Linked DNA regions of Ovis aries. The protein of the gene in region 2 purifies or fractionates together with the protein of the main gene of each other region. This does not show direct contact. Links are inferred from orthologs where the notes say so. Each region holds a gene or a part of one and is shown on either strand. Other genes may lie near its edges.

What was found.
Region 1: the proteins of NUAK2 (region 2) and PPP1R12A purify together in Homo sapiens (affinity purification with mass spectrometry; 3 studies listed by BioGRID and IntAct, counting the BioPlex papers as one, with this or other methods). This does not show direct contact. The link is inferred for Ovis aries from reciprocal best matches to the Homo sapiens genes NUAK2 and PPP1R12A.
Region 3: the proteins of NUAK2 (region 2) and BTRC purify together in Homo sapiens (co-immunoprecipitation; 3 studies listed by BioGRID and IntAct, counting the BioPlex papers as one, with this or other methods). This does not show direct contact. The link is inferred for Ovis aries from reciprocal best matches to the Homo sapiens genes NUAK2 and BTRC.

What each region holds. Positions count from the first base shown.
Region 1 is NC_056056.1:115,837,653-115,841,220, forward strand, and holds part of PPP1R12A (protein phosphatase 1 regulatory subunit 12A), read right to left. Parts: intron 1,201-3,568; coding exon 1,110-1,200; intron 45-1,109; coding exon 1-44. UniProt on the Homo sapiens protein: Key regulator of protein phosphatase 1C (PPP1C). Mediates binding to myosin. As part of the PPP1C complex, involved in dephosphorylation of PLK1. Capable of inhibiting HIF1AN-dependent suppression of HIF1A activity.
Region 2 is NC_056065.1:2,924,831-2,928,398, reverse strand, and holds part of NUAK2 (NUAK family SNF1-like kinase 2), read left to right. Parts: intron 1-128; coding exon 129-248; intron 249-705; coding exon 706-838; intron 839-1,628; coding exon 1,629-2,725; 3' UTR 2,726-3,568. UniProt on the Homo sapiens protein: Stress-activated kinase involved in tolerance to glucose starvation. Induces cell-cell detachment by increasing F-actin conversion to G-actin. Expression is induced by CD95 or TNF-alpha, via NF-kappa-B.
Region 3 is NC_056075.1:22,067,533-22,071,100, reverse strand, and holds part of BTRC (F-box/WD repeat-containing protein 1A), read right to left. Parts: intron 3,118-3,568; coding exon 2,868-3,117; intron 2,381-2,867; coding exon 2,262-2,380; intron 1,051-2,261; coding exon 940-1,050; intron 1-939. UniProt on the Homo sapiens protein: Substrate recognition component of a SCF (SKP1-CUL1-F-box protein) E3 ubiquitin-protein ligase complex which mediates the ubiquitination and subsequent proteasomal degradation of target proteins. Recognizes and binds to phosphorylated target proteins.

The sequences.
Region 1 (3,568 bases), on a different chromosome or scaffold from region 2:
CCTATTGTTTTTTCAGCTTCCTGAAGATCAGTCAATGTTACCCCCTGCACACGAAAAAAGATATACTAAATATTAAGTTAAAAATTAAATGTATTAAATTAAATATGAATGTATTAGAAGTCAAATATGCATGTTTAGAACTGGTCTGCAAATTTAAACAGAATTTCTACTTAGCAAGTCATATTCACTCTATGAAGAATCATCATGAGCAAGCACAGCAGTATGTACTGGGAAAGAAAGAAAATATATGCAAGAAATTGTCTATTAAAGAAATTAACAAGATAGCACAGGAACTGACCGTATGAATATAAATATTCGTAAGAAGTTGAAAGAAGGAAAAGCCAATATATACACTCTTTATATATTAAAGTTACATGTATTTATGAGTTTTTATATATGTAGATGCACAAAGAGAAGATTTCAGTAGGGTGGTAATTTTTGAAGGTTAAGTCCCCAAAAGGATAGATTGAATTTCAAGACGTAAAGGTACAAAGACAGAAAAAACATGTCAAGATCCTACAAAATACAGTTTAACTTGAAATGTAACTAATGGTAAGGATCAAATAGTTTAATCTGGACTTTGGAGCCCCTGTACTGCACAAAAGGGAAGATAGAAAGAGATATAAGAGACAGAGTCAGACGGCAAGGAGGTAAGAAGATGATAATTAGCTGGAGTTGACATTTTTCTCATACTTGCCACATCAGCTTTTTGAAATACCTAACATAAAATGCTTATTTCCCACCCCTTCCCAATACGCAGAATTATTTAATAATTATAAGACATCATATATGATTCATTTTTAACACTAATCAAATACTCTGAATCAGACACTATATTAGGAATAGAAACATAAATACTCAAAAGAGATATACAAAGGCATACAAAACATGCCTTAACAGTAGTAGCCATATGTAATATCAGATGAAATGTAATTAGATAAAATGTAATATTAACAGCACAGCCATATTTAAAAGGCTACAGGAGGATTACTAAAACTATTATACTTTAAGATTCATTCAAACTATAAACTGAGATCAAAATTTGCACAGAAATGTGAAAAGGGGAAACATAATTCTGAACTTTAATGTATTACACACATTAAATATACCTGTGTTGATCTTCTAGACTGCCTTGCTTGTCTAGATCTTGCTTTTCTTTGGGATTCAGACTCTTCATCTCTAACAGGAGTGAGGTATGATCTACAGTAATAAATAAAAATCGTCAGTTGGAAATACATTACCTATGAATGTAATCACACATGAATGTACATAAATGAAACATTTAAGTTTAACATTTTAATGGATTTTAAAAAAGAGTTATCAGAAAATGGTTACACCCACTCTGAAATTCAACAATGCAGTTTGATAGTTTTTTAGACTGTAACTACTCATATTAACATATATTTTTTAAAGGTTTTCCTATCCACAGTTTTGTTTTCTCAAACTTGTAATATCATTTCTCTTAGCCCCTTTCAACATCATCCTAGATAATATGTGAAGTTACATGGCTAAACTCTAGACTGTCAATCTTTTTATGGTAACATCATTAGGACTGAATGCAGTTTGTTAGGATGTGAGATGACTAGTGAAGAAGCACGACTCCCTGCACTACTGTCATCCTGCACTGACTAAAAATATTATGGGCGGACATCATACTTTTGTTCATATTTAAAGTTCTCTAAAAATTCAAGTGTTGTCATATATGAACTTTAAAATCAGCATCTTACTCTTGGGTCACTGATTTTCTGATACAGAAAATAACATTTGGTACTATCTTTAACTAGATTTTATATTTTAAATCTAAGCCTAGCAGCGGTGGCTGCGCGGTGCAGGAGTGGCTGAGAGGAGCTACCCCTCGTCCAAGGTCGGGGCGGTGGCCAAGAGGAGCTACCCCACGTCCAAGGTAAGGAGCAGCAGCTGCTCTTTGCTGGAGAAGCCGTGAAGAGATATCCTGGTTCAAGGTAAGAGAAACCCAAGGAAGACAGCAGGTGCTGAGAGGACGTCAGAGGGCAAACGGACTGAAACCACAATCACAGACAACTAGCCAATCTGAACACATGGACCACAGCTTGTCTAACTCAATGAAACTAAGCCATGTGCTGTGGGGCCACCCAAGACGGACAGGTCACGGAGGAGAGTTCTGACAGAATGTGGTCCACGGGAGAAGGGAATGGCAAACCACTTCTCACTGTTCACGAGAACCCCATGAACAGTATGAAAAGGCAAAAAGATAGGACCCTGAAAGATGAACTCCCCAGGTCAGTAGGTGCCCAATATGCTACTGGAGATCAGTGGAGAAATAACTTCAGAAAGAATGAAGGGATGGAGCCAAAGCAAAGACAACACCCAGTTGTGGATGTGCCTGGTAATAGAAGCAAGGTCTGATGCTGTAAAGAGCAATATTGTATGGGAACCTGGAATGTTAGGTCCATGTATCAAGGCAAATTGGAGGTGATCAAACAGGAGATGGCAAGAGTGAACATCAACATTCTAGGAATCAGTGAACTAAGATGGACTGGAATGGATGAATTTAACTCAGATGGCCATTATATTTACTACTGTGGGCAGGAATGCCTAGGAAGAAATGCAGTAGCCATCATAGTCAACAAAGGAGTCTGAAATGCAGTACTTGGATGCAATCTCAAAAACGACAGAATGATCTCTGTTTGTTTCCAAGGCAAACCATTCAATATCACAGGAATCCAAGCCTATGCCCCAACCAGTAACGCTGAAGAAGCTGAAGTTGAATGGTTCTGTGAAGACCTACAAGACCTTTGAGAACTAACATCCCCAAAAGATGTCCTTTTCATATAGGGAACTGGAATACAAAAGTAGGAAGTCAAGAAACACCTGGAGTAAGTGGTAAACTTGGCCTTGGAGTACAGAATGAAGCAGGGCAAAGGCTAATAGAGTTTTGCCAAGAGAACACACCGGCCATAGCAAACACCCTGTTCCAACAACACAAGAGAAGACTCTACACATGGACATCACCAGATGTTCAACACTGAAATCAGACTGATTATATTCTTTGCAGCCAAAGATGGAGAAGCTCTATACAGTCAGAAACAACAAGACTGGGAGCTGACTGTGGCTAAGATCATGAACGCCTTATTGCCAAATTCAGACTTAAAATGAAGAAAGTGGGGAAAATCATTACACCATTCTGATATAACCTAAATCAAATCCCTTATGTTTATACAGTGGAGTCAAAAATAGATTTAAGGGGCTAGATCTGATAGACAGAGTGACTGATGAAATATGGACGGAGGTTCGTGACATTGTACAGGAGACAAGGATCAAGATCATCCCGAAGAAAAAGTTAAAAAAAAAAAAAAAAAGGCAAAATGGCTCTGAGGAGGCTTTACACATAGCTGTGAAAAGAAGAGAAGTGAAAAGCAAAGGAGAAAAGGGAAGACATACCCATTTGAATGCAGAGTTCCAAAGAATGACAAGCAGAGATAAGAAAGCCTTCCCCAGTGATCAGTGCAAAGAAATAGAGGAAAACAACAGAATGGAAAAGACTAGAGATCTCTTCAAGAAAATGACAGATATCAAGGGAACATGTCAT
Region 2 (3,568 bases):
GGCACCCTTTCCTTCTGCCAGGACCTGTGTTTCCTCAGGGTCTGGAGAGGGGCAGACCAGGAGCTACAAAACAGTCCAGGCCCCTAACCCTAACCCTAACCCTGTCCGTGTCTGACCCAATCCTACAGATCGCTGACTTTGGCCTCTCCAACCTCTACCACCAAGGCAAGTTCCTGCAGACGTTCTGCGGGAGCCCCCTCTACGCCTCGCCGGAGATCGTCAATGGAAAGCCCTACACAGGACCAGAGGTGAGCACCTGGCCTCCTAATCTCTTGGCTTAGACCTTGAGAGAGGGATGAGCTGGTTTTCTAATGATTCCCTTTCTCAGATTGCAAGACTCACTTCCCCACCAAAGCAGTGCCTAGCCAGTTCTGTAGCTGGGAGTAGCAAAACTGGCATGAGCGCTCAAGTCCTCTGACCTCTGACCCCTGACCCCTGACAGCGTGGCTCTGTGCCCCACACCTTCTGCATTCCCGTTGCCTTTCCTAGCCCCCGGCCAGCCTCCCCAAGCAGAGGCAGGTGACGCCTCTCTCCATGACTTCCAGTCCCTTCTACAGTATTGTCCTCTTTGCCCCTGGGTGCTAGAAGGAGGTGGTCCCTGGATGCTCTGGGCTCTGGGTTCCCCCTCATGGGTACTGAAGGCGAGCCTGGAGCCATTCGCCCTGCGGCATGAGGACCTCCTGGCTGACCCCGTCTCTCCCTCAGGTGGACAGCTGGTCCCTGGGCGTTCTCCTCTACATCCTGGTGCATGGCTCCATGCCCTTTGATGGGCAGGACCACAAGACACTGGTGAAACAGATCAGCAACGGGGCCTACCGGCAGCCTCCTAAACCCTCTGGTGAGTGAGGGATGTGGGCATTCCCATCCAGACCCTGGGTGTCCTTTGCTAATTCCTGATGCAGGAATTAAACAGTGACGCAAAGTGAAGCTTCCCTGGTGGCTCATACTGTAAAGAATTTGCCTGCAAAGCTGGAGACTGGGGTTCAATCCCTGGGTCTGAAAGATCCCCCCGAGAAGAGAACGGCAGCCCACTGCAGTATTCTTGCCTGGAGAATTCCGTGGACTGAGGGGATTGTCTGCAGTTGCAGCCTGGTGGGCTACAGTCCGTGGGGTTGCAAAGAGTCAGACATGACTGAGCGATTTTCGCTTTCACTAAGTGAAGATGGCAACCCAGTGTAGCTGCTCTCATCTCCCTGCCTCCTGTGTCTGTGACCTGCAAGGAAGGAAGGGCTAAATCTTCCTTTATGGGCATGCTTATTTGGGAAGTGCTTCCTAAAGCCTAGTCTAGATCCTCTCTGCCACAGTTGTCTCATTGCCTACTGCGTTTGTCCTTAGAAATCTTGTCCTTTCATGTACAATGTGTAAGGTGAGAAGAAGGGTGTGAGGACCTTGGTTTACTCTTGAGCAGCATAGCCTCCACCCCCAGAGGCCTGCATTTCACTGGAGCAAAGGAGCAGACCTGTAAACAGGGCTGTGGTCCTGCGGTTCTGGAGACTGGGGAGCCTGCCTGGGGGCACAGCTGACCTGGGAGGGAGCCCCGTCTTAGCATCCATGGGGTGAGCCAGAAGGGATGCTGTGGGTGCCCGAGCTTGTGGCTACGGAGCTGAAGCCTCTCTCTCCCCTTCTAGATGCCTGTGGCCTAATCCGGTGGCTACTGATGGTGAACCCTACCCGCCGGGCCACCCTGGAGGACGTGGCCAGCCACTGGTGGGTCAACTGGGGCTACACCACCCGTGTCGGGGAGCAGGGGGCCCTGAACGAGGGCGGGCACCCCAGCAGCGACCCCGGCCGGACCTCCGTGGCTCAGTGGCTGTGGCGCTCCTCCCGACCCCTCCTGGAGAACGGCGCCAAGGTCTGCAGCTTCTTGAAGCAGCAGGCGCCGGGCGGCAGGGCCCTCGCCCCTGGCCTGGAGCGCCAGCACTCGCTCAAGAAGTCCCGCAAGGAGAACGCCATGGCCCAGACCTTCCAGGGGGCCCCGGCCACTGATGCCTCCCCTCGCCCTGGGAAGGGTGGCCTCAAGCTGCCGAAAGGCATTCTCAAGAAGAAGACATCAAATCCCGCAGAGGGGGCAACACAGGGCCCTGAGCCCGGCCCCAGTCCCGCCAACCCAGGCCAGGCTGGCCCGCCGCTCCCCAAGAAGGGCATCCTCAAGAAGGCACGCCAGCGGGAGTCCGGCTACTACTCCTCGCCTGAGCCCAGCGAGTCTGGGGAGCTCTTGGATGCCGGGGACGTGTTTGTGAGTGGGGATACGGATGCCGGGAACGTGTTTGTGAGTGGGGATACCATGGAGCACAAGCCCCCTCCAGCCTCGGGGCGGCCGCCGCATCGCAAGGGTATTCTCAAACACAATGGCAAGTTCTCGCACGCGGCCCTGGAGCACACAGCGCCCACCGCCTTCGGCTCTTTGGATGAACTGGCCTCCCCACGCCCTCCAGCCCGGGCCAGCCACCCCTCGGGGGCTGTGAGTGAGGATAGCATCCTGTCCTCTGAGTCCTTCGACCAGCTGGACTTGCCCGAACGGCTCCCCGAGCCCCCTCTGCGGGGCTCTGTGTCTGTGGACAACCTCATGGGGCTGGATGCACCCCCATTGGAGGGCCCCGGAAGCCGAGGCCTGAGGCGCTGGAGGCAGGACCCCCTGGGGACTAGCTGCTTTTCTCTGCTGGACTGCCCGGAGGGGACAGAGGGCGGCCAGCAGGGACTGAGGGTCTGCTCGGAGCTCAGCTGAAGAGGGGGTATTGCCCATGCGGGAAGGCTCTGAGATGCAGCTGGATGCACCCTAAGGGGGAGACTGCCTTCTTCCCTGCCTCCCAGGACCCACATCCCAGCCCAGAAGGCTGAGGTGGTTTCAGTTGAGCCATGGGGAGGGCTGAATGTGGGCAGTGGGCAAGTGAAGTGTGTTGAGGGTTCAATGTCTTCAGCCCCGTGGAACCAAGAAGGTAGCTCTAGAGGGGAAATGAGTACAGAGAAGCAGTGAGGAAGGCCCGTGGCTGAGTCTAGGTTGCCTGTTAATTTCCAGGTTGCCTTGCCCACTGCCCCCTCTGAGGGGGTCGATGCCTTCTTCTTGAGGATGCCTTTGGCAGCTTGAGGCCACCCTTACCAGGGCGAGGGGCGGCGTCCCCCTGGAGGGTCTGGGCTGTGTAGTTCTTACTCTTGGACTTCTTAAACAAAGGCTGGTGCTGCAGCCACTGGGCCACAGAGGCCTGGCCAGGGTCTCTGCCGGCTGCCCGCCCGTGTGCGGGTACAATGTAGCCTGTGCCCTCTCCATAGTAGGGCCACAGAGAGCTGGAAAGAGCACTGTATCAGTGCCTAGCTCCTGTAAAGAGTTAGTTTGTGTGTGATGCCGTCCTGCCAAGGTGGGCTAGAAGCTCTTCATTCACGCACACATTCCCATCTCCACCAACTGTTGCAGGAAGGGGGACCCCTTCCAGGGCCCGAAACTGGGCTCTTGTCTAACACTCAGAAATGAATTGTCCAAGGAGACACATGTGCTGACAAAGCAAGAGATTTTATTGGGAAAGGGTGCCCGGGTGGAGAGCAGGAGGGTAAGGGAACCCAGGAGAGCTGCTCT
Region 3 (3,568 bases), on a different chromosome or scaffold from region 2:
TCTGAGTTGATATAAGCAATATTTAAATAAGAAAAGTTTAGCCCTTCTATGAATCGATTTTATGTCCTGTATCCTCAAGGTAAGTAACAGACAAAACCCAAGAAAAGGGTACAGATCAAAACCAGGGCAGTAAGAAAAATACAGCCTTGGACTTAGCTGAAACATGTAGTCATACCCCCAACAACTTCCCAAGGGTCTGACAGTGACGGCTGACTCAAAGCAGAGGAAATGGGTCTGTTAACACTTACTGCTGCTTGAGTCGTCTTAATGAATCAAGTATAGCCAGCTCGTAAACTAAGATAAAGTTGTAAGTTAGTTTCTGATATTTTTAAAAAGCTGCCAATATTTGAACTGTGGCCTTCCTGTCCTCCACATCAGGCACCCTGATGAGAAGAAATGACAGACAGCATTTCATAAATGAGTTCTCTCTTGTAAGAATATACTATGTGCTCATTAGCGTCGCTGGATGTGGGATCCATCCACAACATGAACGGAGTCTGTAACCACTGGAAAGTAGACTGAAGGAAAGTAAAGATTATTTAATGCACTGTGACTGAAATGCCAGCAGTATACTAAGTCCCCTCCAAAGATACTATCCTCCAACATTTCAATTTTATTAACAAGTCACTATTTTATATCCATATCCTGATATACTAGGGTTTATCCAGTTCTCTGCTTTATAGGGCAAAATAAATATATGAAAAAAAATCCAAAATACTAATGAAAATCATGAGCAAACAAGTATAATTAAATGACTGCGAAGATTATTTGGAAAAGAGTGAACAAAGGAGATGTGAATACATGGATTAGACACAAGAATACTGTATCAGATTCTTTCTGTGATATCTATAATCTTTTGGAGACAAGGAAAGGCTATGTTTAACATTCTAAGGCAGGGGGGATTAAGAGAACTTTTAAAAACCCTGTCAGCACGCTCACCCATCATAGGCTCCACTGACTATCCTCTTGTTATCAAATCGAATACAGCGCACCAATTCCTCATGGCCTTCTAACACTCGTAAGCATGCACCACATTCTATGTCCCATAATCTGAAAGAGAACATTGAGTGGAGTGAATTTCCATGCATTCTTTTCTAAGCTTGGAATGTTATAACAACATACATCGTATGTCTTTTAAAATATCCAAAATATAAAAACCAATCAACACTCATATACAAATATATTACTTTCAGTGTAATTTATTTACTTTCTGCCATAGAAGCAGAAAAATGTACGATTTAAGTTCAAATATGTTGTAAATATTTTTAAAGCATCAAGCTTCATATAAACCTATAATCAGGGTCACCAAGGAATATAAAAGATGAATTTAATGTACACAGTTGCCTAAGAAGGAAAGGGCCAAGCCAAGAAACATAATATTTCTGGAAACCACAATTAAATAAGAATGAGATACAGGAACGGTGACATCCTGCTCTCACAAAATATGTGTACCTCTATCACTGAGGACACCCTCAGCTTTCACCCCACTGTTCAGGACAGTTTTTCTCATATAATAGAAATGCAAAGTAAGTTCTCAAAAATTTTTATATACCAATTTAAATTATGTATGCCTTCTGACCAATCCACATGATTTCTAGGAATGCTAATTTCCTTAGATATAACAATGTCTGTCTGTCGTTTTTTCAATGGCTTTTTCATTCCCTTAGCACTTCTTTGAAGGAGAGGAGAGGGTTGATAAATCTTTCAAATTCTATGCATATGTGTGTCATTCATTTTCATGAAGGGAAAACACCGAAAAGTACTTCAATTTGAGGATTCTTCATAAGTTGTTCATAATTTCGAAGACTGGTAGGTCCCTGGCCCATTATGTAATGCTAAAAAACCCAAAATTGTACAACTTCTAGTAGGGGAACAAATCTATTTTCTTTTTTTAAAAACACTGGCAAAGAGAAAAGCCCTTTAGCTGTTTATTAGCACTTATCAACTGCAGACAGGAGAAATTTAGAGAAGGGCCTTCAACCTCCATTTTTATTTCTCTTGCTCACTTCCTCATTCAAGAAGTTCCTTTTAAATAGGTCTATCTGGTGATAAAACTATTACAGGAAGGAAACACATCAACAAAAGGCTTTGCTGTGCCGTCTCTCTGCTTGGGGCAAACTTTTAACCTGTAAGAAGCCACAGAAAACTGAAAAATGTTTTATTATAAACAGAACACAGTTGACAATTCCTTTGGTCTGTGCACAAACAATAAATGGCAGGATAATAGCAATCCCTTCTGGGCAAGGGCACCTGCTGCTCACCTGATTGTGTTGTCAGATGAGCCACTCACGACCAGCCTGTCTCTGTACTGCAAACAGGCAATTCCGCGTTTGTGTCCATTTAAGGTCCGTACAAATTCACAAGTACTTGTGTTCCACACCTGAAACAGAAATGGCATTTGGCAGTTGATTTGGTGCTTTTATTAGTAAAATCTATGGCAACTGCAGTTTTAGGGAAGCAGAAAATGGGACTGAACTAGCAGGGGAAATTCAATGTCTTAAACCAATCCAAGTCAAATCCCAGATGACAAGTTTAATTCACAGTAATATAGGGCTAATTTGTAGCTGGTTGCTATCATATGAGAAATCCTCAGGTTGATGTGCTCTTATGGGGTCAATCTCGCCTTGTAGACAAATCTTGAACCTAAAATTACCCCTGCCTTTTTCATACTCACCATTATTTACAGGAATAAAAACCTAACCCAAATTGTCACATGATCTATCTGATTCATTACATAAACTAGTATCTGATTTAAATAAATATTAAGTATTCTACAGTGAGGGTTAAATATAAAATTGTCCTTGAGAAGATATCCATATGAACTCCCCTACTCTAAGGTGGGGACTTACTGAAAAATGCCTCATTACCTTTATAGTCCTATCCCCAGATGCAGAAACGATGTACTTATCATCAAAGTCTACAACATTGACTGCAGCTCGGTGTCCGACAAGTACCCTGCGGAGGGTGATGTCAGTTGGGGAGGCCATATCCCATACTGCAATGGAACGGTCTTTGGAGCAGGTCACCATCATGCCATTATTGAAACGCAAGTGCAGAACTGCTTCACAATGGTGAATCAATGTGTTCAGCATTTCACCTGTATTTACATCCCACACCCTGGAACAAAAATATTACGGTTATCTGAGATTGTGGTGAAATTCATGCTACAATCTATTTTAAGTACTGGATTACCTCACTGCCCACCACTCCCACCCTATTTCTCCCAGTTAATGGTATACCTTACTCTCCTTTTGTAGCTCTGAAGTTGAGCTGAGGTGAAGTGTACTAATGGACCATGGGGAAGTGATAGTTAGAGGACTGGACTGGGAAAGCGGGAAGAGGAAGGGGATGGGATACTGCCAGTATGCAATCCTTAAGACACACAACTTGAAATCTGGGCTAGCTGCAGGGTGCTGAAATGAGGGTGCAGCAACCATCACCAGCAAATTGTTCCCAAACTTCAAGATTATCATAAACCTTCTGACATTTAATCTGATACATTTTAAACTGGTGGGAATTTTGCTAATAACTGCAGCGTTGGTGGTCCCACAAATAGCCCTTGGGTCCT